4 linked regions of the Rhinolophus ferrumequinum genome follow. The protein of the gene in region 4 interacts with the protein of the main gene of each other region in a pairwise test. Links are inferred from orthologs where the notes say so. Each region holds a gene or a part of one and is shown on either strand. Other genes may lie near its edges. The genes, in order: PLEKHN1, TXLNA, CNNM3 and CBY2.

Region 1 (7,051 bases), on a different chromosome or scaffold from region 4:
CAGTCCATAGGTCAGGGACACACACACTGTCACACGTAAGGACAGAAGCCTGCACACACAGCCTCCTCACATGGAAATAGCGGCAGAACACACGGGCGTGCACGTGACCTCACTGAGAGTCACAGAATTGCATGGTCTGTCAGAGAAGACGATGATGTTTGCACTTAACGGAGATTCGACCCTTATCTTCACTGTTTCCTAAGCTGTGTGCCCTTGTTTTGGTTACTCAACCTCCCAAGATTTGTTGGTCACAGGGGTTTTGGATGTCTGAGTAAGACGAGGCTCAAAACCCTCCTGTACGTCCACTATCAGCTAGTAAATGTTTAATATTTGATTCTAAAAAATGGGGAGATTAATTTATAGCATTTGCCAATTTGGATGGTGTACATCCTCCTGCCATGGCCCATTTCAAGGAACCAACGTGACGTGAGCAAGTGTGGAGCTGGGGAGAGAGGCATCGGATCAGCTCTTGGGAGCTTGGGCTGGCCACTTCAGCACACATTGCCTGCCCTACTCTCAAGTAGGGAAGGCCAATGTCCTGGCAGTGGCCCAACGGGTCCTCTGTGATCTGCCCCCTCCCCTGGTCCTCTCCCCTCTCAGCAGACACACGCCTGTCTCAGGGCCTTTGCACTTGCTCTTCCCTCTGCCTGTACCACTCAGCCTTGCTCTTTGCACCTCCTTCAGGGCTTGGCTCAAACATCGCCTCCTCCATGAGGTCCCGTCTGGGTACCCTTCTCACGTGCCAATCTCCCCTGACCCCTCTGCACACCTTCCCTACTTTTCTTCTTAGTGCTAGCCACATCTTACTTATTATATCTTTTAATTATTTGTCTTGTCATCTGGCTCTGTCACAGGGATGGGGACACCGTAAGAACAGGGTCTTTGTCCATTTCCCCCACTGCTGTGTCCCAGGGCCAGGACAGGCCTGGGATGTGATGGGGGTTCACTGCCTGTCTGCTGCAGGGAGGGAGCATCGGTGCCCGCAAACACTCAGCCAGTCCTGGCACACAGAGAGTCCTCTACAAATGGGAGCTTGATCATCAGGTTGGGGGTCACACTGGGATGGGCGTTACCTGGTGCTGGAGGGGCTGAGGTCTGTCCAGGGGCTCAGGGGTGAGTTGAGGAAGGGGCCATGTCTCCTTTGGGAGCTGGCAGGGGCTGCCTGATGGGCTGCTGTGCCAGGCCAAGCTGAGCCGCCCTTTAAATAAGCCCAGGAATGTGCACAGACACACAGTTTCCCGGCCCCCCGCCTCTGGGTGGAGCTTCCTGCACCCACGCCCAGTGCAGAGAATGATGCTGGGATGGGACCCATGAAAAATAGGCCACGAAGCAGGAAGGGCCATGCAGCTGGTCCTGTGGCCCAGGCTCAGCCTTAGGGCCCAGGGAGGAGTCGGCTCAGAGCTGTGGCAGGGCCGGCTCTGTGTGGGTGCAGAACCCAAGGAGAACTGGCTTCTCCAGGGCCCCACCTCCTGAGGTTCAACATTCCTGGTCCCCTCTCCAGCCACCATGTCCTGGCAAGAGAGGACCACACAACTCACAGGATTCCACCAGGGTCATGGGATACGTCCTGGGCCTGAACAGAGGGAGCTGAGGTCTGAGATGTGGCCACTTGGAGGGACCCCCATCCCTGCCCAGCCAGGCCCTGGACACAAGTGGCTTGTCCATTCCTCTGAGGCAGCATGGTTTCCGAAGCCAGCACTTGCCACAGGGAGCGCTGGGACTTCAGAGGGCAGGGAGAGGCTGGGCCCAGGACTTCCTAGCCTGACGGGACCAGTTGGAAAGGTGGGCTCCCCACACCAGCTGCCAGGCCTGTAAGGGACGGTGTGAGGACTGCAGGTGGAGCCCTGGCCCACGTTCCTGGCATAGTCACACATGTCCGTCGTTCCCTGTCCTCTCCCAGATGCTCCTGAAGTAAGAACCTGGGGGGTCATTTTCGTCACATCCAGGGGCCTCAGTGTGTACCAGCGCCTCTCTTCGACCCAATGTCAGCCCTGGGGACAAGGGCTGGGGAAAAGGGCTATGTCTCTCCCCCTCACTAACTCAACCCCACAGGAGCTGGGTAGAGGGAGGGGATGTTTTCAGCTCAGAGGTGCCCCAATATGTGCTTGGCAGGCAGTCCTTGCTATGGGGCCTTGGCCAGGGGGATACAGGGTGTTGCTATGGGAGGAGGCAGTGGTGTGTGCCGGGACACACCCCCTGGGAGAAACTGAGGCCTGGAGTAGGTGACACGCTGGCTCACGGCTCACCTGAAGCCCCTTAGTCAGAGTAAAGAGGGGGTGGAGGGGTTTCATAGCCGTAGCACCAGCATGACATCCCTGCACACACGGCAACAGCTCAGATACCTGCGCTTGGTCCAACCGAATGTGCCTGGACATGCTGTCCAGTCCAGGGGCAGGCTTGGGTCCTGGCCACAGTGCCCCTGGGGCAGCAGAGACTCCGGAGTCCCCGCCCGCGCCCGCCCCTCCTGGTGCTAGCTCACCCACTGACTCAGTCGGGTCTCAGTTTCGCTCTCCGCCAGACTTTCGGCCAGATGAGCTCCCGAGGGTGGGGCTCCGTCTACTTCCTCACCTTGTTTTAGATTTGATTCCCAGGCTGACCTGGGAGACCCTGAGACCACCGCCGCCGCGCCCCTGCGCGGCCCGCACTCACCCTGGGACACGCCCACCCGCCACTCACCGACCCCGGGATGTAGTGGAAGATCTTGGCGGCGGTGGTGTCCCCGTCAGGACTGGCCTCCGTGCCGAACAGGCCAGCCAGCTTCCTTGTGCCATCCTCTCTGGGGAGGAGGGAAGGGGGGCTCACAGCCTGGTTCCCGACGCCGGTTGAGGGCAACCCTGTGACCCAGCGTCGAGTCCGCCCCCGCGCCGCCCCCTCACCTATTTCCCCTCAGCGAGAGCTTTCTGGAGAAGGACGCCCGGAGCCTCTTAGGGGCCTGAGGGACGCAGTGGTTGTTCCCCATGGGCCGCGATCCGTGCCGACCCTAGCTGAGCAGGTCGGCAAGTCTGGGTCCCTCTGTCCCGAGCCTCCTGTCGCCACCTCCCGGGGGCGGGGCTTTGCAACGTCTTACCCGGTGCCCAAGGGCCGGGGGAAGGTGGAGCCTTTCTGGGAGGGACCGGCCCTACCTGAGCCCACGCCTTTCAGTTGCCTGCCCTGGGTCCTCCCCACAAGCAGGCCAGCTGGGGCGGGGTTGGGGGCTTCCCCACTGGCGGAGCCAAGAGCGCCCACCTCAGCCACCAGTACGTTCGGGAGGGGCCCCAAAAGCCTGGTCTGTGAGTGCGTGACCTGCCCACCTGCGCGTAAGCTGGGGTGCCTGGGGTAGAGCTCTGTGAGCCCAGGGACCCCCTCCCACAACCCCCCCACAAAAGCACACATCCTGTTTCCGCCTAAATGCCAGTCTCTGATTCACCAGTGACTGTAAGGGGGCATGTGTTTGCTGTCAGAGCTGCAGCAGGAGTTTGCAACACTGGGGAAGGGGAAGCCAGGACCCTTCCCCAGCCTCCTCTCCTACCTTGGCCCAACCCTCACCCCGGGCCAAGGTCAGGGTCCTCGAGGCTTAACCAGAATCCAGGAAGGAGACCACAGCCATCCCAGGTGCATCTAGGACAGTCACGGCGAAGTAGGGGGAATGCCACCCGTGTCCCTCTCGTAAGAGCCTGGGGTGAGACAGGCCATGGGGGCCCCTCAGGACCACGCTGGCAGCAGCCATGCTCATGATCAGGCACTCCTCCAGGACATGACAGCCTGTCCCGACTGGATGAGACGGTGCTGTCTCAAAGCCCCCAGATGCCAATGCAGTGCCTGAGCCCAGCTGTACACTTGCCCCCAGACCCTCCCAGTCACCCCAGATAGGACCCCAGAAGGTGGAGATGGACCTCAGACACAAGCCCAGAGTCCAAGAGATGTGTTTATTGTTCAAGTTGGTTCATATTGCTGTGAGGAGTCTGTGGCACGCATGTGTCCCAGCTCAGTGCAGGACCCAGAAAAGACACCACACTCACAGGCAGGAAGCCCCCTTCGTGCCCTCTTTGGGAGTGTGCCTGGCCTGGTGAGGCAAGGGTGGTGTGCAAAGCGAAAGCTGGGGGTCTGCACCTGCTCAGAAGCCCCCCCACCCCAACAGGCCGCTCTGCATCTGCCCTTTGGTCCCTCCAGGTCTGCAGAGTCCAAGTTGGCCCTGCCCCACAGGCAATGAGAGTGTCCACCCCATCACTCACCAGTGCCCCGAGTGTGGCGGGAGAACACTAGGAGGGCAGCTTGGTCCCAGCCACACAGGACACTTCCAGAGTAAACGTACGAACTGGTAGCTGCAGCGCTGCTCATCGATCAATAAATACTGAATAAATAAACGAGTAAATAAACGGTACACACATAAATGAGCACTGAGGAATGAACAGAAATGGGCGGCCTCAACACACAGAGACGTGGACAGACGGTGCAGGACATCCCTGGCGGGGGGCCGAGGAACCCACCCCTGACACACTGGTCGAGGGGAGGGAGGCGCTGGGGCCCTCTGCGGGGCTTAAGGCATGTGGGAGGCCGCAAGGTCCGGCCTCTGTGCAGTCCGCGCCGGGGTCAGAGGCTGGTGGAAGACACGGACAGTGTGGGCGAGGAGGGTGGCGGGAAGTTCAGCAGCTCGAGCACCGCCACCCCCACACTGCTGCGCCGTGTGAACATGCAGGATGCAGCCACCCACTTGTTGGTCCTCGGGTTGTACTTTTCGATGGAATTGAGGCTGGAGCTGCCGTCGTTGCCTCCCACAGCATACAGCCAGCCGTCCATAGCCACCAGGTCATGGGTGCTCCTGGGGGCGGGGCAGGCGGGCATAAGCCCATGGGGTGGAGCCCCGGGGGTGGTACCCGGGGGCCATAGGAGCCGCCCCGGGGGTGGGGCCGCCTGGAACCTCTAGGGAGGCGCACAGGCCAGAAGGAGAGCATGGGTGGGGGACACACTATGCAGGGGTGAGGCCATGGGACACATTTGTCAGTCTCTGAGGGGGGCAAACCCACTGTGGTAGTGACGGGGGACACTCCCAGTCTGTGTGCTGGGGGACAGCGCACCTTCGGATGTTCATGGGAGCCACACTCTCCCAGGCACCAGCCTTGGGGCTGTATCTTTCCACAGAGTTGAGGCAGCTGGTGCCATCATTGCCACCGGCCACGTAGAGAGCCCCCTCCAGCACCGCCACACCAGCTGAGCTGCGCCGGCTGAGCATGGAGGCCACTGGCGTCCACGTGTTCACCTGTGGTTGAGGGGACCTGCTGGGGGCAGACCCATCACCAGCCCCCCTCCACTTCCTGTGCAGACCCCTGCTCCAGGGCGGTGTCTGTGGGACAGGGGTGGGACCTAAAGGGGAGGTGGGTGGCCAGAGTGATGACCTCAGGCAGCCCTTGGGGAGGGGGATTCATGGGATTGGGGCATTTCGCACCTGGGGCTCATACTTCTCCACTGTGGCCAGGTGAGATGAGCTGTCGTAACCGCCCACGGCATACAGGTTCCCATCTGCAGGGTTCAACATGCCCATGTTGTACCTGCTGTGTGGGGTCTCTGGGGGGGCAGGTAGGGGTGGGTACTACACCAAGTAAGTTATCACCCACCAAGCATGGCCACACGAACATATCGCCTCCGGGTGCTCATGGCGGCGATAGACGTCCATGTTCCCGTCAGGGGGTCATAGCGCTCGGCACTGCGGACACCAGGACCACCGCTGACCTCGAGCAGTGGCAGATGAGGACTTGCCTTCCCCTGGGGAGTGACTCAAATCCCGTGCTGGGATGTCACTGAGACTGACCCCAGAGTCCCACTGGAGCAGGAGGCAGGCCTGAGGGGTGCACACGGGCCCCCAGCTGCGTGGGTGATCCTGGGTAAGTGTCCACCTGGGTGCAGCCTCTGGACTTGTGGGAAAGACCCCAGAGAGGAAAGGAAGGGGCAGGTGGGCTGGCACAAATGAGGAGGCCTATGGGACCCTGGTAACTCAGGCGGGATCTCTCTTTGCTCCCCTCGAGGTATGACCTCTGTCGTCCTGATGCAGCCACAGCTGCTACCAAGCCCACCGCGAAAGGCCACTACCTGTTGAGGCAGGAGGCCCCATCGTAGCCACCGGCTGCGTACAGGAGCCCGTGCAGGGCAGCCACACCCAGACAGCTGCGCCTCGTGCCCATGGACACCTCGGGCTGCCAGACGTTGGTCACAGGGTCGTAGGACTCTACAGTGGCCAGATCTGACGTCCCATCGTAACTAGGGGAGGGGTCCAATGTTAGTCATGGCTGGCCCGGTGGGCATACACCGAGCCCCACGAGAGAGCAGCCTCCACGCTTACCCGCCCACAGCATACAGCCGGTTCCCAACCGCTGCCACGCCCACCCGGGCTCTGCGTGTGGACATGGAGGCCACCACATGCCAGCGGTCAGTACGTGTGTCGTAGGCTTCACAGTCCCCATGGATGGCGAACAGGCTCCCACCACCTAGGGTGGAGGATGTGATGGGGCATGAGGAGGGGCCCAGGAAGGCCACAGGCTGCGGGCTCCGGCACAGTTCAAGGTCAAGGGTTTGGGGCTCTGGGGGTAGGGATGGGTATTTGTGAGTGGGTCACACCACACAGGGTCTTCCCAGTGGGATGGAGGAGCAGGTGTGGGGAGGGTGCAGGATGTGATCAGCGTGGGGTGGGGCTGGCTGGCGCTGGGCTCATGGGCAGAAGTCGCAGGGCAGAGGCGTGGGGGGCCGGTGGGATGGGCGCACCAACGGCGAAGAGCACAGGGCCTGCTCCCTCGCAGTGCCGGGGCCTCGTGCGGCTACTGCCCAAGACACCTCTCTGCTCCGGTAGCAGGTGGAACTTGAGCGCTTCGATGAGCAGGTCCTTGCAGTCAGGGTGGTGCCTCACCAGGCTCTCGGCGTCCACGTGGCCCAGCAGGAAGTCCCGGCTCAGCAGGGGCAGACGGACACACTTCATCAGCTGGGGTGCAGGGGCGCCAGTCAGGCAACAGGTCGGACCTGTGGGTACACCTGGCCCGAGCACTGAGACCCCCTCAGACAACGGTCCACCTGTATGCTGGGCCCT
Region 2 (7,539 bases), on a different chromosome or scaffold from region 4:
GGCAGCCCTCCCCTATCACACTTTATATTTCTGTCTGTTGAACTGGCTGCCTTCCCTGCTAATCTGTGTGCTTCATGAGGGCTGGGACCAACTCAGTTCTGCCTATTATTGTGGCCCAGTACTTGCTCTGGTGCCCAGCACGGAGGACACGCTCAACAAATACTTATTAAATAAATGGTTGAATCTCTGTGGAATCTCCTTGGTGAGCACCAGGAGTGGGAGAAACAAAAAACGCAAAACTGCCTGCTCTTCCAACAGGTGAGAAAAAGGTGGCCACCTGTGAATTCAGTGTTACTGTTTCAATGCAAAGAGGGCCCTTCTGATAGAGGAAGGATGCAAAAAGGAAAAGGTTTCCTTGAGGACTACTAAACTCTCACCAACAGAGGTAGCAAAACAGTGAACTTTAAAATGAATGTACCTCCCGATATTTGATCCTAAGATTAAAAACAAACAAAATAACCTTGTTTAAGTTAGGATGACAGTTAGGGGATACGGGAGTAGGGGCTAAGGGTATAATACCACCGGACTTTGATTTTTTAACACACACTAGCCGCCCCCATTCCCACCTTCAGCCAAGACTCTCCTGCACTGCCTGTGCCTGAGTCAGAATCTTCCTTGCCTCCCTAGAGAGCCACCGTACATAGCACAGCACCAGGCTTCTGAAGTGGCAGCCCTAGGAGGCTCCAAGAGACCAATGTGGAGACTGCAAATCACTAGCACACAGGCCAAATCCAACCCACAGATGGGTTTTGTTTGATTCCTAGCATATTAGTTGCGTGTAATTCTAGATTTCTAGCTTAAAAAAAAGGGGGCTGGGACTCTGGCTAGAATTAGGCTGTAGTTTTACATGCTATCAACTTGCTGGGACCAGGTGACAGTCAACCCTTTGGATGAAGGAGGCACTCTCTTCGTCCTCACGAGGCCCCTGACTAACTTGGCTTGTTTGTGTTTTCAACCCTGGTCTAGCCCAATTCTCTACTGTGACAACAAAGGACTGGAGAGGAGAAAGGCCTTGCCCAACACAACAGGTTAGAAACCGTGCAGGCTGGCTGGCTGGCACAGGAGTCCACCCAGCAGATTGAATTTCGGTTCCCACTTGCTCCCAAGGCCAGAAGCCCTTGTGCAGTGAACCACCTGCACACCTCTATGCTATGGCCCTACAGCCCTGGCACTGATTAAGCCCTGGGAAGTAGTTTCCTCTGCATCCTAGCAGAGTAGGCTAGCCCAGGGAATCTCGGGTCCAAACTCCCTCCCCTCAACAGCATCACGAGTAGCTTCCCTCTGCTCACCCAGACCCTTGGCTTTCTTCTTTTCTTGTGGCCTTCGGTGGTCTCGGTCTCCAACCTCATCACTTGCCCGGATCTCGTCTGTGCCTGGCTCTCCCTTGCAGGTCTCCTTCTCACCATTGACTACTGGGGTCTCTGGCTCAGGCTCCCCATTCCTCGAGGCATAGGTGCGGGACTTGTCTGCATCTTCGGGTTCAGCAGGCTCACCCTGTGCCCCATTCTCACCTGGGCCCCCCTGATTGTTGTCCACACAGTATGTACTCAGGATGTCCTCCAACTGGCGGCTCAGCTCCTCAGAGACATCACGGAGGGCCCCAGACGGAGAGGTTTTGGCTTGTACTCCTAAAGCAGCAGAGGATGAAGGGGCTGAGTGAGAAATAAGATGGTTACACCACTGGTTGCGTTTTTCAGGCCCAAACTTACTGGTTTGGGTGAAATGTTGCCTAACTTCTTTAAGCCGCAGTTTATTTACCTATAAAATGATATGACTACTTCTCACTACCACCCAACCATGTCTGTTACGAGTATAAAAGAAACCAAGTAAAACATTCAGCACATGCAGATGGCATGTAGCAGGAGCTCAATGTCTAGGTCATCTTCTCTTCCCCGAAAAAGTCACTTCTTGCTACTAAAAACCTTCCAGAAATGCCTCAAGTATAGAAAGCAGTTACCCACTGGTGAATGAGGTGTTTCTAATCTGGATGTGCTGGCTGGGTGTTTCATCTGCTTGCCACCCGATTTAATCCTGTCAGAGCCGCCTCGAAAGAGTTCTGTGTCTGCGCTTAAGAGTGGAAGGCTCTCCCAACTCCCCAGGACACTGGGGATCCCAGAGACTCAGCACTGTGGTCCCCTCATTCCACTTCCTTCTTTCTGAGTCAACAGTGGCCTCTAACTCCAGCAGCTACACTGGCCGCACCACAAACTCCTCTCCCTCCCCGCTGGAAACCGAGAGCTGGCACACACCCTCCGTCTTCCCTGGAGTCTGGCTGGTGGCACCTTCAGTTTCTGTTGCACAGGCTGCCTGGCTGGGCAGCCCCGGGGCTCCCTCTGGTCCGGCTTCCGCTTGCCCTGGGTTGCTTTTTGGGTTGGAAGTGCTGCCTGCTGGCTTGGCAGCCCCGTTCTTTTTGTCTTGATTCTTCATTGTGGCTCGCAATGCTAGGTGAGGAGCAGATCCTATAAAACAAGACACTTGCTATTTTCCAGACTTCAAAATTCTTCTCAGCCTGGATCAGAAATCCCAACACCGGGTGCACAAAGCTTCCTATAAACAAACTGGCTGGCGTTCACCAGAGGGAGTCAACGGTTCTCCCTGTCTCTGGCCAGTCAGGGGAGCCTGGGGTGCCCTGGCAGGTTTTTGAGGAGCTGCTCCAGGGGAGGCCTCCTTTTTCTTGAAGCCTCTTCCCGGCACAACGCGTCCACCTCACCACAGGCGGAGCGCGGGATAGGCTCCCCGCCGCAGACTGACGTGGCGGGACGCTCGATTCCGGTTCCCTCCTCTGCGCCCTAGGCCCCACGTGGGCACCCCCCTCCTCCCGGCTCCGCGCGCGCACAGCCACCCACACCCCGCGCGCTCTCCGGCCGCGCGCGAACCGCCCGCCGGCGCATGCGCACAGGCCTTAGCTGTTCCCCGGCCCTCGCCCTCGCGCGGAGTCTGTGTGATTCCCCTCACTGGCCGAAAGCGCCCAGGTCTACAGACCCGCTGATCGCCTGGTCCCGCTAGGCGCCGCGGTACCCACCCCAACGCCGTCCGCACAGCTTCGCCCGCTCTGGCCTCACACCGGAAACCCTGGGTAACCGCTGCCGGCAGAGCTGCCTGCTCGCCGCAGCCAATCAATAGCCGGCACTCTCGCGAGGCTTGCTGGGAAAGATATAGCGAAGGGGCCCCTGAGGCGGGTGAGTTGGGAAAGCGGGGGAGGGAAAGGACTACAAGTCCCTTTATGCAGCAGGGCTGACTCCAACTCCCAAGATGCAATATAAAGGGCTTTAGTCCTAGGAGCCGGATACTCAGGTTCGAAAGGAGCCAGTCATTCTGTATACGTACCCACGTCAATCTCCTTTCTGTCGCGCAGAAGCTATGATTCAGCTCCGAAAGGTTTACTCCTGGCTGTTGTTTCTTGCACGCCTCCAACCCTTCCCGCCAGAATTCTGGGCTGGGAACCTGGAGACCTGTATTGCAGTCCTAACTTCATCACTGATTTGCGGGACATTCTTTTCTCTCCCAGAACCTCGATTTCCACGTTCAAATAGAAGCTTTTAATAACAACAGCAGTTCTTTGAACGCTTAAGGTGTGCTTTCCCGGTATCTACATTTTTTTTAAACTTTTAAAATTTATTTTAAGTGTGTTTTTCCAGGACCCATCAGCTCCAAGTCAAGTAGTTCTTTCAGTCTAGTTGTGGAGGGCGCAGGTTAGTGGCCCATGTGGGGATCGAACCTGAAACCTTGTCATTAAGAGCATTGCGCTCTAACAAACTGAGCTAACTGGCCACTGCTGTATCTACTATCTTGATCCTAAGTACTCATCAAGGTAAGTACTATGTCTTATTTCCATTTTACAGCTGCTAACAGTGGTTAGAGCAGGAAGTCTGGCACCAGCACCCATCTTAACTACTGGACCTACCCGGCCTCTTACCCAGAAGAAATAACCATCATGACACACTTTCTCTGAGGATAAGTCAAGGCAACTTGTTAAAGTGGGTTGTATTTTTTTCCCCTCTTCATTACCAGCATGAGCCCCTCTTGGGCAGGGGCTGAGGGGGCCCTGCAAGGGCAAGTTTAGCCTTAGCAGATTCCTGAGCCCTTTTTATCACTGGCCTACTCTCTACAGAGTCTCTGTTGCACTGGAGCTAAAGGGGAAACAAGCCAAATTTTTCAAATGCGAGATCCCAATTCTTTATCGAATTGCCTATAGATAATGGAATAAAAACCAACAACCCATGTGCTTGGGATTTAATGCCTACATAGTTTGGCTTGTTTCCAGACAATCCTGCCCATTCCCTCTGCCTGTTTTTTGCTCTAGAAATACTTTCACTATTGCCTGCATTTCCCAGGATTTTGCAGGTGCTATTCCAGCTTCCAAAATGCCCTTATGGCAAAAACAAAATCTTTTGAGGCCCAGCTCAAAGGTCTCTTTAGAGCCTGCCCTATGCTCTGCAGCCTGTCCTAGCTCCTTATTACTGGTTAGAGTTCTATTACAGCATTAGTAAAGTGTTGAAATTATTTGCTTACAAATCAATGAACCTCTGACTGTTGGCTAAATTCTCTCATCCTAAAGCCTAGGGTTTTGGGGGTGAGGGAAGAGAATGTTTTAATTGTGCAAACTCAGCATTGTTTTAGGGCTCTTAAGATGTTAAGTATTTTTCCCAATTAGAGATACCAGAGTAGTGCTCTTCCCCCTTTCCTTAGGCAGCACAAATTCACCTTTTACCAGGTAACATTGAGAGGCAATTTGGTATAATGGTGAAACTCAAGGCCAGAAAAGTTTGGAATCCAAGTCTCACGAAACCAAGGCCTGATTTATTTCCAGAAAAGCATGTTGGAAATCTGTTGAGGTAACATACAAATCAAGCCTTGATGGATTTCCATAGGAAGGTGTTCTAGGCAGAGATAAAGAACGTAATAAGCAAGAACAAGGTACGCTTGGAGGGGTAGTGTAACAAGAAGGATCAACAGTGGCCCTACAGGGGCCAGCTGGGTAAAGAGTGGAGCAGGCAGGCAAGCAGTAACAATTTGATAAACATGGGTTAAAAAGTCAATTTCTACTTTTGCTATAAAATAGCAACAGTATTAGCACCTGCCAGTCAACTAGTCAGGGACACCATTGGGAATGGTGGTGATGATGGTAAAACAGACCTCTTACAGATTGTTTTCAAGCAGAAACTCAAGCCCAGTAGTGCCAGATATTTTTCAGGATATATCTTTATTTCTTAAAATGTTGGCAGTGAATTAATACTTAAAACACACTGTCTGCCAACCAAAATCCTCCTTTTATGTTGAGTCAGCTTTTTGGCTGCTTGTCTGTAATCTCTGCTTTAGGAATTGACCTAAACCAAAGTGAGTAGTCTGTGAGCTGTATGACCTTCAAGGGCTCAAAGGGCTGTGGAGTGGTGATGAAATGATGTCAAATCCTTTAGAAAAAACTCTAGAAAATACAAACTAAACAGAACTCAGATCAGTAGTTGCTGGGGGTTGGGTGAGGAGGAGAAATTCCTAAGGGGCATGCAGAAACTTCTAGATGGATATGTTCACTATCTTAATTGTGATGATTTCATGGGTATATGTCAAAACTTACCAAACTGCACATTTTAAATATGTGCCATTTACTGTATGTCATTGTATTTCAATAAAGGTGATTTTTAAAGATGTCTTTATAGCAGGAGCAGGCTGTTGCAATTCCTCATTCCACTGTTAGGCCCCAAGTTTAAACACTTTCTTTGTTCACTTCCGAAAAGTCCAGTCTAGGATCATTCCAGAGACGACGCTTTAGAACTTTGCAACAGGTTTTTATTTTTGCTTTATATCTATTACAGTGTTTGAAACCTAAAGAAATAACATTTTCTCTTCAAATTTGGATGTGTATATAAATATCATTTGTCTGGACTCAGCACACTCAATGCCTCGGTTTCTTGGCCTATGTCTGCTCTGAAATCAAGCTTTGTCTGTCTACCCAGGGGCCCTGAGAACTTGGAAAATAGTCAGAGTTTATAGTTCTTGGAAAACTAAGAGCAAATGAACTGCAAAGAAAAACCAGTGAGGAAAATTGGTTTGATTCACCTTCCTAAGATCGGTAGCTGGAAACCCAAGCTATTTTTGAGGGACATCTGGTTTGTATTGGGTGGCTGGGACCTCCTATCCCCTTTGCTTTAGTGGTTCAGTCAAAGGCAATTCCCCCAAAAGTGGGCTAAAAGAGCCCATACCCAACTACAAGGCTTGAGGGTTCTCAGAGAGGTGGACTCTTTAAGGCCATTCTGAGTCAGAGGTTCCCAGCCAGTCTCCGGATATGACCTTTGACTTCCTTCACTGCCCCCAGGGCATGGCAGGATTTGCTTTTCCCAAACCCAGGGGCTGAAAATCTGACCTACACGTGGGAGCAGGGCTAGCATTTAGCTGAGGGGTTCAGGTATGTGCTAATATGGACATCAGTCAGGCTGGCCCAGAAGTAGCGAGGTAGGCCCAAACTCACTGAAGACCTTTATAACACACTACACAAACCTTTGTCTTGGGGTGTTCTGGGCCCCAAATTTAATGCTGCCTCTTCTCTCATACCTAGTTTTGGTTCTGTAAATAGCCCAGGCATGATGCAAAATGCCCTCTGAGGAAAAGTAACAGCTTTAATTCACAGACTTGGTTGGTACTGACCTCAAATTCTTCCCGTGCTATGGTCTTAATCTGGAGGTGGGGTTGGGGGGTAGACAACCGGATGACTGAATCATTTATAAAGGCCTTGGCCAAAGAGCAGCTAGTTCTCAGCTTGTTGGCTTAACAAAAGAATCCAAAAGTTAAGACACAGAAAAAATACTGAACAAGATTGGTCTAGAATCCTAAAACGGCTGTGGAAGAAACCTAACTCTGAGCGATTTCTCAGTCTCACACTCACTTCTAGGATAGTCCTACCTGGAAGATGTTGCCATTGCTTATGAGCATTTCCTATGGTTCAGTGCACTGAGCCTTGCACCCTTTCCCAGACTGCCAGGGAGGCAGACAGTAACACACATTCCTGAGGCCCCCAGCCAGCCTGCTTTCCCTCCGGGTCCCTGTAGTGCCTATAGGGACCTGGAGAATCCAGAATCTGAGCCTACAAGATGAATCTACAGAGGAACACCCAAGATGATGGATACCAAGTTGAGTCTTGAGGAGAAGAGATGTGGCCTGAACATACGAGCTGAGGCATTCAAAGGGGGTTATATGGAATGAGGGAAGTATTGCTAGGCATTTATGCCCTTCCCTTACTAGTTTGCTAGAAACAGGAGTAACTCTAGGATACAGGGGGGGAAGCAGGTAGACACAAGAAAATGGAAATCCATTTCATTCTGTAGACGGTTTTCATTTTAAGCTGGTTTGGCTTGAAAGAAATAAAGTCTGTGCCTGAGCGCCTTCTTTTGCTCTCCCTGACTAAGTATAATAGGAGCTACAATCTGTGCAGTTCAGCTCCAAAAATTGGGCTCCTGGAAAGTGGCTTCCAGCGCAAAGAGAGTAGAAGGAGTAGATCTAAAGGTCCTAGCTAAGGGGGACCATCAAGGGTCCCTGAAAGCTGAG
Region 3 (7,270 bases), on a different chromosome or scaffold from region 4:
GCCAGCCTCTCTCCTCTGCACCCCTGAATCACTGGTCTCCACACCAGTCAGTGATCATGAAACACCCTCAGGCGCCACTGTGCTCTGCTCACAGGTGTCATCCTGGTGTCAAGTCCTGCCTTCCCAGGGTCTCGAGCGGGGAGGCAGCGGGATGAAAGAACCCTTCCTCGCTGACTCCAGGCCCAGCACTGCTGGCCCCCAGGACACCACTGCCCAGAACACTACAGTGGCCCACAGGGAGTATTTACCACTAAGAGGCTCTGTCAGGCCCCCACCCAGTGCTCCCCGCCCCAAAGAGGGGCTGCATGGCCACTTTCTGGGGAGGCAGCGGGGTGCAGCCAACAGATTCTCTAGCAGAGCGGTCAGAGCTGCCCCCAAAGCAGCCTCCCAGGTAATCAGAGGCATAGGAGTTCAAGTACTGTAGCCAGGTGACAATCTTCCTTAGGCAAGCCTCTAGGAGAGAGGAGATGATGCACGTGAGCGCCCACTAGTGTCTGCTTTACACAGCGCTAATGCAGGACTCACAAGGTCACAAGGCCCAGACTCCCCAACTGTCAGGGACTCACAGAACACCTCCCAGGGGGGGCCTGGAGCCAGGACACCTCCTAGGTGCCAGGAAGCTCAAGGGCTTTGCTGGCTTCCTGGTCTCACATTATGCATCCTCCAGCCTCAAGGCCACCCAGAATCCTGGGGTGTCCCCTGTGCTCATCCTGCAGGAGTTCGGATTTGAGAAGCACAGATGGCTGGCGGTCAAGGAGCTCTGGGAGCACAGCCACACCGGGCCATGAGAAGACTGCACAGGAAACCACACCTTCACATTTGGAGGGTGCAACCCTAGAGTTGCTGGGATAAACCAAGGTCAAAGGTGAGAATGCAAATGTGGAGTTAAGGGAGAATGTGAGAGACCTTACTCAGGGTTAGAAAAGGGGGAAGTTAAAAAAAAAAAAAAAAAAGACAGCTGAAGGGAAGACTGAATTAGCGCCCATGAAGTTGCTTTTGGTTAAATTCAAATCCAAGTGGCAGTTTGTTCCACACCCCCAGAAAGGTATTTTTGAATCACTCTTTTCTGCAGTCAGGAAGCAGCAGCCCATCAGCAACCTTAACAATGACGACCTGAAAACATCACAGGCACCCCTCATTTTACTGTACTTCACAGGTGTTGCGTTTTCTAGAAATTAAAGGCAAGACCCTCCACCAGCAAACAGATTAGGACTCGCTTTTTTGTTGCGCTCTGGAACCGAACCCTCACCACTTCTGAGGTGCACTTGTATGTGTGGGCACGTAAGTTTCCAGGGACCTGGGGACTACACTCTTTTCTACCTTCTTTTAGTTTCTATCCAAGAGCTTCGACCTGCTACAAAACCCACAAAAATGACCCGGAGCGGGAAAGAGCTGGGGGTTAGAGCCTAGTGGACATACCTCCCCAGATTGGGGGCCTACCAGGTAAAGGGGGATTTTGCTGTCTTTAGCACTGTGTCCCTCTCTCAAGGACAACTTTTCAATATTTCAAAAGGTCATTCAGAGCTGCAAGGCCGTCATCGTCTTTAAAACGGGACTTGCAGGTCTCACTGCTCTCCAGAGGCTTCCATAATCCCCGACCCCTTTTATAGGGGGTGCGGGGCACAAGCTTTCGAGTCCCCTCCGCGATTCCCAGACGTTACCTCGCTTGAACTCCTCCAGGACGGCGTCCAGCTTGGTGTCGTTGAAGACGAAGTGCACCGGGTGGTTGTAGAAGCGGGTGATGGTGCTGAGCGGCGTGCAGTCGTCGGGGTCCACAAAGGCCAAGTCCTTCAGGTAGAGCATGTCCACGATGTTGGAGCGCTCCTCTTCGTAAACGGGTATGCGCGTGTGGCCGCTCTGCATGATGCTGGCCAGGACGCCGAAGTCCAGCACGGCGCGGGCGTCCAGCATGAAGCAATCCTCAAGCGGCGTGAGCACGTCTTCCACCGTCCGGCACCGTAGCACGCCCTTGCTGAGGTCGCTGTAGGGGTCGCCACCACCTCGCGCCAGCTCCAGCACGCGCTCGCGCAGCCGCCCGGGCCGCGCCGCCAGTTCCAGCAGCTGCCCGACCGGCAAGGCCACCGGCAGGGTGAGTAGCACCGCCAGGCGGCTGAGCGCCAGCGCGCGCGGAGCCAGAGCCAGCGTCCAGCGCCCGCTTACGGCGGCCGGCAGCACTTCGGCCACCAGGAACGCGAGCCCCGCGCTGCCCAGCACCGCGGGCACGGCGCGCTGGCCGGCCGCGCGGTAGAGCAGCACCGCCAGCGCCGCCTGAGCCACGCTGGCCAACAGCAGCAGCGCGCCCAGGGCGCAGCCCGCCCAGCGCCGCGCCGGCTCCAGGCGCCGCGCCGCCGCGCGCTCCGCCTCCGAGCCGCTTTCGCGCAGCACCTGTACCTCGGCCGGCGCCAGCGCCAGCGCGCTCAGCTGCAGGCCCCGTGCCAGCGCCGCCAGCGCCAGCAGCCCCGCCGCCCCCAGGCCCAGAACCCAGGGCGGCGCCGCCTCCTCCGCCGTCTCGCTGCTCAGCTCCGCGCGCACGGCCTCGGCGCGCAGGCGCAGCAGCGCGCGCCATTCGCCTGCGGGGGCCGCCGCCTTCCCGGTAGCCGTGCCGCCAGGCTCCCCGCGCACCGCCAGCAGCGCCGACTGTGGGCGCTCAGCCTCGGCGCGCAGGCGCAACAGCGCGCGCCACTCGCCCGTCGGGGCCGTAGCCTCACCGGGCACCACAGCCGGCCCGCCCTCGGGGCAACCCGCCCCCTCGGGGGCCGCCCAGGACCAGGAGCTGTTGGCGAAGCCCGAGCCGAAGAGGCGCAGGCGGAAGGTGGCCTCCGGCGCGGCCGGCACCTCCCCTCCGCGCGCCCACGCCGCGCCCGCGGCCCCGGCCTGCTCCAGGCAGACGCCCAGCACTCGCGGGCCCGGCGCCGCCTCCCCGGCGGCGTGGCCCAGGCAGAGCGCAGCCAGCAGCCAGCCCAGCCGCCCCGCCGCCGCCGCCATCGCCCGCTGCCCCCTCTCGGCCTCTGCGCAGCCTACCTCCCCCCTCCTCCGGCCAATCGGCGCCAGACTCGCGCCTCCTCCGACCAATCAGCGCCGGCCTCGTGCCCCGTTCGCCAATGGGCGGTGCGTGGGGGCGGGCCCAGGGGGCGGGCGAGGCTGCGCCTGGGCGTAAACAAGCGGCGCGGGTCGGGACCGGCCGGGGGCGGGGCTGACAGCCCACGGGGTGGACTAGGGGCTCCGGGTGAGGTGTGGCCACCCACTACACAGGCCGGACTCCAGCTCTGGGAGATCCCTGGCTGGAACGCGGGGCGGGCAGCAGTAGGCGGAGGTCTCGGTGAGGGAGACGTGCGGCTTTCTGAGGTAGGGCCCCGGAACCGCCGACCTGAAGGCGGGGAAGGCCGAAGGAAGAACCGGGACTGGGCCCCGGGAAGCTAAGCTTCCGTAAGATGCATGTTGATGGAGCCCGACCCTGCTGTAGGTCCGGGGACGGAGACGCAGCCCTTGGGCGAAAATAAGGAAACCTTGGACCCTCGCCTCTACTTCATGTTATTATTTTCCAGGAGAAAAACGAAGCGTGTGACTCGACGAGGATGTTGAGGTCCGACGCGACCTAACACCCCCGTCCCATCCTCGCCACTCGTTTCAGGAATGCCTGGATCTGTCACTGCAGTTCTACTTCTTCCTTGGTCCCAGGCTCCCTGGGGAAATGACCTATAACTCACTTTGTTGGGAAAACCTTTGTACGGACACTTGCAGCAGTTGGATCACACTCAGAAAACCATCAATACCCGAAGACCTAAAGAACCCAGCGCAGGGCAGCTTCTCAGGAGTGCCCTCCTGTTAACAGTAAGAGGCCTCACAGGACTCCTCCGACTGCTTCCTCCCGCCTGTGCCATTCTTGCCCGCCCCCTGGTTAGTCACAGCATCAGTGGACATACTTGCCACTTGATCTTCAAGTCCCTCGTTGACTCTCCCTAGACCATTTGCCTTACTGGTTATTTGGTTCAAGGTATTTCCATGTTTTATTTAAATATTTGAGTTTTAAATGCATAGCTATTGTGGCTTCATTGGCTGATTGCTGCTTCTCTCTCAAGTCTGCAAACGTCACTTCCTGGAGCTGGTCTTCCTCGACTCTTGACTCAGTGGGTCAAGTTTGTGGGAGCTGTGTGCTCTTACCTAGTAGCATGTAGTGCTTATTTTATAGACCCATTCATTCATTCATTCATTCAACAGGTATTTCCTGCATTGAGTGCCTGCAGTGTATCAGGTCCTGTTCTAGTGCTGGGATTTATGTGGAAATAAGAAAGTCCCTGCCCTCCTAGAACTTAGGTTCTAGTATGGGGACAACAGGAAATGTACAAATCGTGTTTTAATATCTGGCAGTTAGGATTGGGGCCGAGCTGTTTTATGGAGGGTGACAAGGAAGGCTTCTCTAAGGAGGTTACATGTGCATAGAGGCCTAGAAGGAGCAGGAGGTGAGCCTCACAAAGACCTGGGGAAAGAGTGTTCCTGGTAGAGGTAACAGCAAATCCAGGGGTCCCTGTGTGACTTATCTTCCTAGGAGGTCTGCCTCATTAGACTGAGGGGTTGCTGGCACCTGGTGTGGAACAGGTGGATGGATGAAATTTACTCTTCCCACCTATACACAAGTTTTTGCATGTAATTCCTTTTATCTGGAATGTCCTTTCTGCCGACCCAAGTAAGTGCCTCTCTTTAAACATTCTTCCCGATTTGCCTGCTGTGAAGACAGCTGGCTTGAGTCGCTGAGTCCTTGACACACTCAGTCACATGCGTACCTATGAGCACTGCAGTAGTGGACGCAGTGAGGTCACTCAGCCTTGGGCAGGCTCTTCCGGGATGAGCTCTCCCACTTCAAGACCACGGCCAGCCCATGGGTGGACGAAAAGGCAACTGCATGTTACCAAACAATGTGATCCTGTTTTTTGGATCAGGCTCCTTTCTCCTTCAGCCCCCAGGGGAGAGAGAAGGGCCGATTTGCTCATTCCAACTGCCCATCCAGGACCCACAGGCAGGAGACCCTGAGGTGTCCCTCTCATGACGGGATTCCCAATTGTGGCCGCTGAGCACCTTTATCATGCATGTCCAACAGCTCCTGTGGCAACAGCCTTGGTTATGTATGTGCTGTAAATTACATTTCTGCCTCTTTGTTTACTGCTAAACAGCTCCTATGGAATACTTGCCACTTGTCCTGACACAGGTGACAGCCACTTCTAGCTCTATGAGAGGTACCAAATGTTGATGGAACTCAAATAGGTAAACCATAGACTCACCAAGATTTCATGTTTCATTTTTTTATTACCAATCAAAAAATAAATTCCATATATTGTTTAGCAAATATTATCATTTTGTGACAAAAGACACAAGAGTCGAACAACAAAACTCCCCGAGAGTCAAACTCATAACAATGCCAAAATAAATCACAAAAATATACAAATTAAAATCTTACGCAAAATAAATAAGAGTCATTTGCTATGGTGGCTGTGACTTGCCTACCCCTTAGGAGGCCATCTGCACGGTTCTCCCTCACACGGGCAGACGTGCAGGGACGGGCCCATTCCAAGGTAGGGCTCAGCCCAGGAACCAGAGGTTGGAATAGGAAGTGAAAAATTGCACTGGGAGGAAGAAGTCATGGACCAATAATATCTGGAAGTCATTACAACCCTCTGCAAGAAGAGATTATAAATGGGGAAGGGAAGGGCAGGGCAAGGGCGGAGGGCGCGCTGTTGATAGGAATTGTGTGTGCAGAGAGGTAGCTGTGGAAGTGTGTGTGCCCGCTCCTTGCACTTCACACACTCGGTTCAGGCCAATGCACTTGGCCCCGCCTGGCACTCAGGTCTCAGGAACACCACTTTGCAAGCTCCCGTGTGCACTCGGGAAGCAAGCTGCTCCTGTAGAAAACTAAGGGGTCCCCCCAACAGGAAACAGGTCTGGTGTCTGAGAACCCATGGGTGTCATCACCTTCTCTCCAGACCTTTAGGAATAAATTCTGTGACTGGCCAGGGGCAGGCATACTTGGTGAAAGACATTTCCTGGTCCCAAGACTTAGGGTTCTCCAGGCACCTGAAGCGCAGAGCACTTGGCTGAGGAAGGAGTGAACAGACAATACTCAGGCCCGAGGCCTGCAGAGCCCCCCTCACCTGATCTTGGGCCCCAGCAACTGTGCCACCCAACAGAAGGGCCAACACGGTCCTTGGTCCCACAGCCTCCCAGGGATGGGGAGCCTAGAGCTAGCTGTGTGGCAGGGCCTGACTCGGCCCCAGGGAAAGGCGCTGGGGCCAGAGTTCCTGTGGGCGTGGAGCTCTGGGGGTCCAGTACCACCAGCTTCGGCACAGGCCAGGATGAAGCCTCATTGTAGGGTTACGACATGGGGGACACAGGGCTGCCAGTAGTATGCCTTCGAGGTGGGAATCTTTCCTGGGTTCTGGACGTGTGTGAACAGGCAGGTAAGCCTGACCAGGGGACAGGGCATGCAGAACCTGCTGACGCTGGCTTCCTACATGTCCTCAGTCCTCAGCCCCCAAGAGGCCTTGGGGTTTGGGATTAGAAGTAGGGAGTCTGGAAAGCAGGGTTCCTGGGTCACTGTCTGAGACTAGACTTTGGTTGTGGGCTGGGGAGGGTATGGTATCACTTGCTAACAATGCACGACCAGATTCCCTCCTAGAACTGAAAGGAGTATCGCAGCCAAGTCACCTCAAATGGAGATGCTGTCCCCACCCAGGGGAAAACCTTTGGTAAAAGTGAGAGCAGCCTAGGGAGCAGGGGCGAGCAATCTGAAAGGTGGGAGACCCTGCCTAACATTTTGGGTCAGCCCCATTACAAGGGGAGACTTGTCCAAAGGGGCAGATATGAGGCGAACCAATGGGGACAGGGGTGAGAGTCTCACTGGCCCCAACTCACCAGGAGGGCCCATCAGCAGTTCTTGGAAATTCCTTGATCTAGCGAGTGACAGGAGCACGCACACTCTTCTGCCGCTGGGAGCATCTGTCCCTGGTCACAGCTGCCCAGACCCCTCGGTCTCAGTGACGTCAAGACCAGCCTCCATGCACGTGTCCCAGTTGTTCTCAGTACTATTTGGTTCTTTGCTTCCTGGAAAGAACTGTCCTCCCAAGAGAAAGCCTTCCTCCAGCGGGCCTCTGGGACCCCGTCTCTGGAGGATGAGGGAGGACGAGTGGGCTCCCTGAGTCGGGGACATAGCCAAAAGGTCGTGGCTGGGAGCACATTATGGCTATTGCTTCCTGGGGTGAGAAACCCCACCCCTTTTAAA
Region 4 (7,333 bases):
CTAATTGTTTAACACAGAATTTCATGAAATCTTCCTCCTAACAGGTCATTCAAATTTGCAGAGATATGGGTGTTGTCAGCCGGTTCCATAGCTTCTGAAGAACAAGCCCAAACAAAGGGGATTGAGGAAAGGCAACTGGGGGCATGAGGGAGCCTGGAGGGGGCCTCCAGAGCTCATTCTGATCTGGTGTGACCCTTCATTAGTGATCTAGCCTTAAACAACACCTGCAATGCACACACAGTGCTCACCAGGGAGGGAAATGCAAATGCCTGTGAGAACTCAATCATTGTGTACAAAAGGAACCAAGAGGGCAGCTAGCTGGGACAGGAAATAACATCGATGGCTTGCAAGTGAATGCGCTGGAGGGAAATAGATCAGAAAACACAAATATTTAATGTGAGGAAGAAAAACTGGAAATCAATAAGACCTGGAAAGACCTAAGGGAGATAAGGAACAGTGAGTCACAGGCATTCGCAATGTAATTGAGAAGCCCCAATGCCTGGCCGGATTGGGAGCTAGGAGGCCAGCGGCACTTTCTGAAGTCACAGAGCTGCTGAGGCAATTCCCTTCTGAAACAGAGGGACTCGTCCCAGAGTAAAGCAGTATGTGGCAGACACATGCAGGGAGCTCCGGGCACGCAGTTAAGATGCAGGGAGAGGAAGGGCTATCTCCTAAAAGCAAGAGAAGCAGAGGACTAAGACCTGACCTGGCCCGGCCACGTGGCATATGCCCATCTTCCGATATAACAGAGAGAGTGGGTGTTGGCCTGGGTTCAAGCCCCCAACTCCAGCTCTGCCATTACCAGTGGGGTTCCCGGGTTCCCAGTTCCCGTACTTACAGTGTCCACCTCGCACTTGCATGGCCCGACACATGATGAAAGCAGTGTTCAACCAATAGTCCTGCTTCCCTCATCAACCACATCAGTCCTTTCCCCCAAGCCCTGGTCGTGACGCTGTTCTCATAATCTAAACTTATAGACACCCACACCACTCCCCCAGCGCCCCTGCCCAAAGCATCCTGGCTGGTGTCTGAAACCTGCTGCATGACTTGTGTCCCGGTGGCAGATGCACCCGTGAGGCCACATCTGCCCACGTGGGGCACACGTGCCTAGGCAGCAGGTATCCTCTCATCCCGTGCCCTCCTAGACCCCAGCAGCTGCACCAGGACCTGCAGTACAGGCCCCAGAACACGCTCGAAGCTCCTTAAACCACTCCCCAGTTCTGCTCCTTGCTCTCCTGCAGGGGCTGTTTCTGGGAGGAGGCAGGGAGCTGCACTAGGTGTAGATGGAAGACTTCCAGATCCCTCCATCACGTGACCATTGCTTCATACCCTCTTCCCATCCCCACCCCAACCCATCCTCGGGTTGACACCCTCTCCCAGTCCCTTAGCAAAGCAAAGATTGACTTCTCTGGGCTGAGAACGACCCAACCATAGGGAGAGTAGTGGACAATGGAATTACAGACGTGTTTTATGTGGAAAGAATCGGACCTCAGCCAGGGCTCCTACAGCGGCAGAAACCCTGCGGGCAAGCCATCCTGATGGTCAGGAGAAAGTGAGCGTATGTTCTAAGCTTTAGGAGCTGAAACAGAGAAGTGTCTGTTCATTACAGCGTCATAAGGATATGCGAAAACAAATAGCCAGAATGCTCTGTGTCCTATATTTTTTCCTCCTGCTGAACACAGTTGCCTAGATTGTTACAATTACCTCCACCTATAGAAAGAATGCTGGAGGTTTTCTTTCTAATCGTGTCCTTCTGAAAATCCTTAAGAAAGAGAGAGCTTTAGGTGATCAATCCTGTCCCTACACGTCCCCGGACAGAGCTTTCACATAGTTACCTCTGCACTGGACTCCTCCACTCTACATTTCACCCTTTTTGGTTGCAGTGCCATGGTCTTCCAACTGGGCCTTAGGTGACTCTGGAGAAGCAAGGCTGCCCCCTTTGTGACATAGCAGCGGTAGAAACAATGCAATCAGGAGAACCCCACCAGGGCTCAGTGGGGGAGACCTGAGAATCTCCACCTGTCAACACTGCATCCATTCATTGGCCTCCGTTCTGAATCCCTCGTGCCCACCCCCTTACGCTCTGTATATTTGGTATACAGCTGGCCTTAATTCTCTGACACCTCCAAATGGCCCTGTCTGTACTCCTTGGTCTGTATTAGGTTTTCTCCTCATGGATTCAGTCATATGCATTTGATTCCAAGGCCAGTTGTAATTCTCCTCTAGAAATCCAGCGTGATTGCACAACTACCAGAAGATCTAATTTCGAGATGATTGGCGTATTTCAGAGTGTCATAGAAACTTCATGTGTTAGGGCTGGATGGTCTTACCAGACCACCTAACTCACTCTCCTCATTCGAGGGATGAGGGACCCAAGGCCCAGAGTGGCTAAGTGTCCTCTGCCAGGCACAGAGCTGGTTGGCAGCTGCCCCACAACTAGAATTGAGGTCCTGAGGACTCTGCTCGTTCAACAACATCTTTTGCTCGAGTTTTGAAAGAAGAGGGTTATTGTGGCTAAAACGAGTAGATTACATTCTTCTGTGATTATCCCTACCTGAGGTAGAACCACATTGATTGGAATTTCTAGGCTTTCAGATCTGGTATCTCTTTTTCTTCTACAATGTGGCCTTGAGAGCTGTGGAAAAAAGAAAATAAGACATCTGCTCCCCAGCCCTTCCTCCGGGCCACAACTGCTCATCTGAAAAACAGAGGACTTCCGACTCACTTATCCCCTCGTCAATTATGTACATCATGAAAATCGGAGTCTCAAAGAACGGGAAGATCGTGTCTGACAAGAGGCTGTAGCGATGTCTGAACATAAGTTAAGACAGGTATTATAACCGGTTTCAGAGCCTTCCGAAAGCCTTTGGAGCAGACATACTTACACCTATTATTACCTTTTCTAAGATTCTTATTTCTGTCTCAAGCAAAAAGTCATACCAACGTTAGGTGCCAGGTATAGGTCCTGTGCAGAAGTTGGTCACCAAAACACTCAGAACATTCCAGAGGTGACATCACAAAACAATATGGCAGTGTTCAGGGCTCATGGTCTCTCTCTGAGCATCTCAGGCGGGAATGAGGCCTCTGATGGTCAGGAAGAGCTTACCTTGGTGTGACATGGCTGGTCCAGGTCAGTGTGACACACAGTAGCCCTAACACTAGCTTCCTGTTTGGTCATCTTGACTGCTATTCACATCTCCTCTGCCAGGCTGGGCTGAGATCCCTATCTTCTCTCCAGAGATGGCATCTTCTCCTTGGAGTTGGATCACTTAAGAAGGAAAAAATGCAAACTGAACTCACTCCAGACCAAGAGAAGAAATTCAGTGTGAGACGTTTTTTGACACAACCAATTCTCCAATTCTTTGACACCAGTTGGACATCTTGCAATTCAGCTCAACCTTAACACAATCGCCCTGGAGTTGGTGTTGGGTCCCATATGTGAACGGCTCAGTCCCACAAGACCGGCCCCGCTTCAGATGCCTGTCACAAGTCCTGGGCCACTGGTACTTCTACCTGGCTGTATCAGGGGTTCTCATAACGCCCTCCTCGGGTTTGATAACTTGATAGAATAGCTCACAGAACTCAAAAAACACTTTACTTACACCTGCAGTTTTATTATAAAGGAACAGCCAAGTGGAAGAGATGCTTAGGGCAAGATATTGGATGGGGTGGGAGAACACAGAGCTTCCATATCTTCTTGGCACGCCATCCTCCCACCAACCCAGAAGCTCTCCAAACCATTGTTCAGGGCTTTTTAATGTAGTTTTCATTACATGGTTGTGCTTGATTAAATCAGTGGTCTTTGGTGATTGAACATTTCCAGCGCAGACGTGCAGGGGTGCAGACTGAAAGTTCCAACCCTCTAAGCACGTAGTTGATTCCTCTGGCAACCAGCCCACATCCTAAAGCTGCCAAGGGGGCCCCACCAAGAATCACCTCGTTGGCATAAACTCAGGTGTGCTCCAGAGGGGCTCCGTGTGAATAATAAAAGATACATCTATCACTCAGGAAGTGGTAAAGGTTTTAGGAGCTCCGTGTCAGGAACTACAAACAAAGGCCAAATATATATTCTTATTTTACCTCATGTAGAAACTGCATCAAGACCACAGTGCTAACATCCGGGCTTTGCGAAGGGGGCAGCGCAGCCCCCTGCCTCAATTCTGTCCAGTCACTTGCCTCTAGAGGCTGTTAGTGGGAGCCCTCTCATGTGTCTTCAGCCTCTTTAGACAGAGAGCTCCCGTGCCACGTTATTATGCCACACACCGGGGAGGGTGGTAGGCCAGCGTCTGAGACCCAGGGACACCTAAGCGCCCAACGGCTCTCCCACAGCCCACATACAAGCGAGTGTCGCTTTAAGAAAATCCAATACACAGTAATTCAAAGCTATACATGTGGAAAAGACCAAGAAAGTGATCAATCACATTATCAAAGAATTCTTCATTGTAAATGGGAACTTCTCCAAGGGTTTCCTTTTTTAATTTTATTTTTTAATTGTGGTTGAAACACATAACATGAAAAATGACCATCTTAATCATTTTTAAGTATACAGTTCAGTAGTTTTAAGGACTTTCACAAAGCTGTGCAACAGGTTTCCAGAACCTTTTCATCCGGCAAAACCGAACTTCTATGTCCATTAAACACTTAAGTCCCCTCCCCACCTCCCCCAGCCCTTGGCAACCACCTTTCTATTTCCGATTTCTATGATTCTGACTACTTTAGAGACTCCTGAGTAGAATCATACAGTATTTGTCCTTTTGTGACGGGCTTAATGGCTTCGCATCATAGCCACAAGATACTCCATATTGGAGCATGTGACACAGCATCCTTTTTTAAAGCTGTACAGTATTCCCTTGTATTTATATACCACGTTTTATTTATCCGTTCATCCACTAATGAACATTTGGGGGTGTTTCCACCTGTTGGCTACTGTGAATGATCCTGCCATGAACACGGGTATGTAAATATCTCTTCGAGAACCTGCTTTGAATTCTTTGGGATAAATACCCAGAAGAGGGATTGCTGGATCATATGTAGTTTTATTTTTAACTTTTTGAGGACCTCCATACCGTTTTCCACAGCCAGTGCACCATCGTTTAACGTTCCCACCAGCAACACACAAGGGTTCCAAGTTTTCCTCATCCTGTCAACACTTGGCATTTCCTGTTTCTCCACGGGTTTCTTTAAGCGGTTAACTCTCGTACTGTCTGAAAACACAATTCAATTTTCCCTTATACACAGATCTCATGGAAACACCTGCACATCCACCTGTGAGGCTGAGCTAGGAAGACTCAACCGCGAAGGAGGTAGCTGAACTAGAGCTGCCCAAACAAAGGACCACAAAACGAATGCTATGACAAACTACCAGAGACTGGAGGGCTTCCACAAGACATTTATTTCTTACCATTCTGGAGGCTGGACATCCAAGGTCAAAGGGCCAGAAGACTTGTTTCCTGATGAGACCCACTTCCTGGCTTGCAGATGGCCACCTTCTCACTGTGTCCTCACATGGTGGAGAGAGAGTGTGAGTTCGGGTCTCTGTTCGTCTTTTCTAAGGACACTAATCCCATCCAGAAGCCTTCATCTAAACATGATTGTCTCCCAAAGGCCAAACCTCCAAATGCCATCACATTGGGGACGAGGGCTCCAACATATGCATTCAGTCCTTAACGCGATGTGACTTGGGCAAGTCACCCCACCTCTCAGAAGCTGTTTCCTCGTCTCCAAAATGAAGAAATTAAATCTAATTCGAGACGACTTAGCAAGCTCTCAGTAAATAATCATTGCGTTGGCGCCCTCGTACAAAATTGCCTTGCTCCCTTTGCCTTGCAGTCTCAAGCAGCGGACTCACACACACTGGTGCCCTATTAAAAAGGCTTGATGTCACAGCTGGTGGGAGGGCTCGTCTGTGTGCCTGCTGTGTGATTCATCCGCTTTTTGTTTTTAAGGGAGGAGCGCTTTGAGCTGGGCCATCCTGGAACTGGCATCTTCCCACTAGCTGGGTCCCTTCCTCCTCTACAGGATACACGCATCCATTACTCGGTACTGAAAAGCTTCCTTGAGAGTGCACCCCAAATGTCTGCTATTATTCAGAGTAACGCCATCATCAATCATCCATGTTTCGTGAGCATCCACAATTGGAGGGCACTACACAGAGCTCGGAGGTGGACACGCCTGGTGGGTTTCTCATCTAAACAGACAGGTAGAGCAGAGATGAAGGAAAGGGCAAGCATGCATCTCAGACTCCCCAGGCTTTCCTCACCTGCAACTGTCTGGTGATGAATCACAGGGAAACATTCAACAAGCGGGAGGGCCCATCAGAGAGCACGGGGCCTCCTGCCCTGCCCCAGGGAGTCACAGGAACTGCAGCTCTTGGTCCAGGAGTCAGACGTGGGCATGGTGGGGTATGTTCTGACCTTTCTCTCCTTCTCACTGGTGAAAGGATGGGAAGTTGTGTGGATGTAGTAAATTATCACAATGTTTGTCATCTGCAAATTATATGATGTGTTTGGGAACATTTGTTATTTTTGCTGCTTAGGGCAGAGGGTAGCTTTATGCTGGAACCAGAGTACCAACCCAAGGACAGCCAGGCTGTGAGCCAAGCTGCCTTCGGGACAGGCCAGGGGTCACCTCCTGAGGAAGCATAAGGCAGCAGCCAGAAAGAGCAAGAGAGGCTGCCGCTGAGTCCATCCAGCAAAAAATAAGATCAACTGCTGGAAAAGTCTGAGCAGGAAGAAAGTAAATAGAAGAGCAGCTACCAGGGGCACTGTTGAAGTGAATGGTTGTTACGCTAGAAGAATCACCCATATTTGTGGGGATGTTGAAGGAACCAACAGAGGGGGATGGTGCAGAAAGTAGGGCAGTTGGCACTTTCAGATTCCTGAGATAACCAGGGTGGTAAACGCTTCTTGGTGAAGTCAGAAAGGAGACCAGGTGCAAGATAGGTCCCCAAAAGCAACATCGAAACTTGGGGGCCTCTAGAAACATCCTTACAAATTTCCCTCCTCAATCAGGAGCCACTAGAAATCCCACCACCATAGTTCTGACATTTTCCTAAAATCAGTTCATTTGTTTACTCGATCCAAGAGTAAGGCTCTATAAAGACTATGATTTCACTGATGTGTGGAATATAAAAACACAAAAGTAACAAACCAAATGAAAACAAACAAGTAGATACAGACAACAGAATGGTGGTTACCAGAGGCTAAGGGGGATGGGGGAGGGTGAATTGGGTCAAGGGGATCAAATATTTGGAGACAGATAAAAACTAGACTTCAGGTGATGAGCACACAATAGAGTACACAGATATCGAATTATAACGTTATGCATGTGAAAT

What was found.
Region 1: the proteins of CBY2 (region 4) and PLEKHN1 interact in binary tests that used the Homo sapiens proteins (3 or more experiments, as listed by UniProt). The two-hybrid records come from large-scale screens. The link is inferred for Rhinolophus ferrumequinum from reciprocal best matches to the Homo sapiens genes CBY2 and PLEKHN1.
Region 2: the proteins of CBY2 (region 4) and TXLNA interact in binary tests that used the Homo sapiens proteins (3 or more experiments, as listed by UniProt). The two-hybrid records come from large-scale screens. The link is inferred for Rhinolophus ferrumequinum from reciprocal best matches to the Homo sapiens genes CBY2 and TXLNA.
Region 3: the proteins of CBY2 (region 4) and CNNM3 interact in binary tests that used the Homo sapiens proteins (3 or more experiments, as listed by UniProt). The two-hybrid records come from large-scale screens. The link is inferred for Rhinolophus ferrumequinum from reciprocal best matches to the Homo sapiens genes CBY2 and CNNM3.

Annotation. Positions count from the first base shown.
Region 1 is NC_046292.1:191,518-198,568, reverse strand, and holds the start of PLEKHN1 (pleckstrin homology domain-containing family N member 1), read right to left. Parts: upstream 3,017-7,051; 5' UTR 2,960-3,016; coding exon 2,877-2,959; intron 2,777-2,876; coding exon 2,677-2,776; intron 1-2,676. Other genes in the region: KLHL17 (kelch-like protein 17), read right to left, coding at 4,570-4,798, 5,055-5,236, 5,423-5,496, 5,592-5,680, 6,064-6,231, 6,314-6,458, 6,733-6,946. UniProt on the Homo sapiens protein: Controls the stability of the leptin mRNA harboring an AU-rich element (ARE) in its 3' UTR, in cooperation with the RNA stabilizer ELAVL1.
Region 2 is NC_046292.1:22,082,331-22,089,869, reverse strand, and holds the start of TXLNA (alpha-taxilin), read right to left. Parts: upstream 3,001-7,539; 5' UTR 2,983-3,000; intron 2,756-2,982; exon of another isoform or gene 2,460-2,755; 5' UTR 2,428-2,459; coding exon 2,250-2,427; intron 1,653-2,249; coding exon 1,290-1,652; intron 1-1,289. UniProt on the Homo sapiens protein: May be involved in intracellular vesicle traffic and potentially in calcium-dependent exocytosis in neuroendocrine cells.
Region 3 is NW_022680356.1:2,261,700-2,268,969, reverse strand, and holds the start of CNNM3 (metal transporter CNNM3), read right to left. Parts: upstream 3,001-7,270; 5' UTR 2,986-3,000; coding exon 1,662-2,985; intron 1-1,661. UniProt on the Homo sapiens protein: Probable metal transporter.
Region 4 is NC_046287.1:5,395,271-5,402,603, forward strand, and holds the start of CBY2 (protein chibby homolog 2), read right to left. Parts: upstream 3,016-7,333; coding exon 2,941-3,015; intron 2,636-2,940; coding exon 2,555-2,635; intron 1-2,554.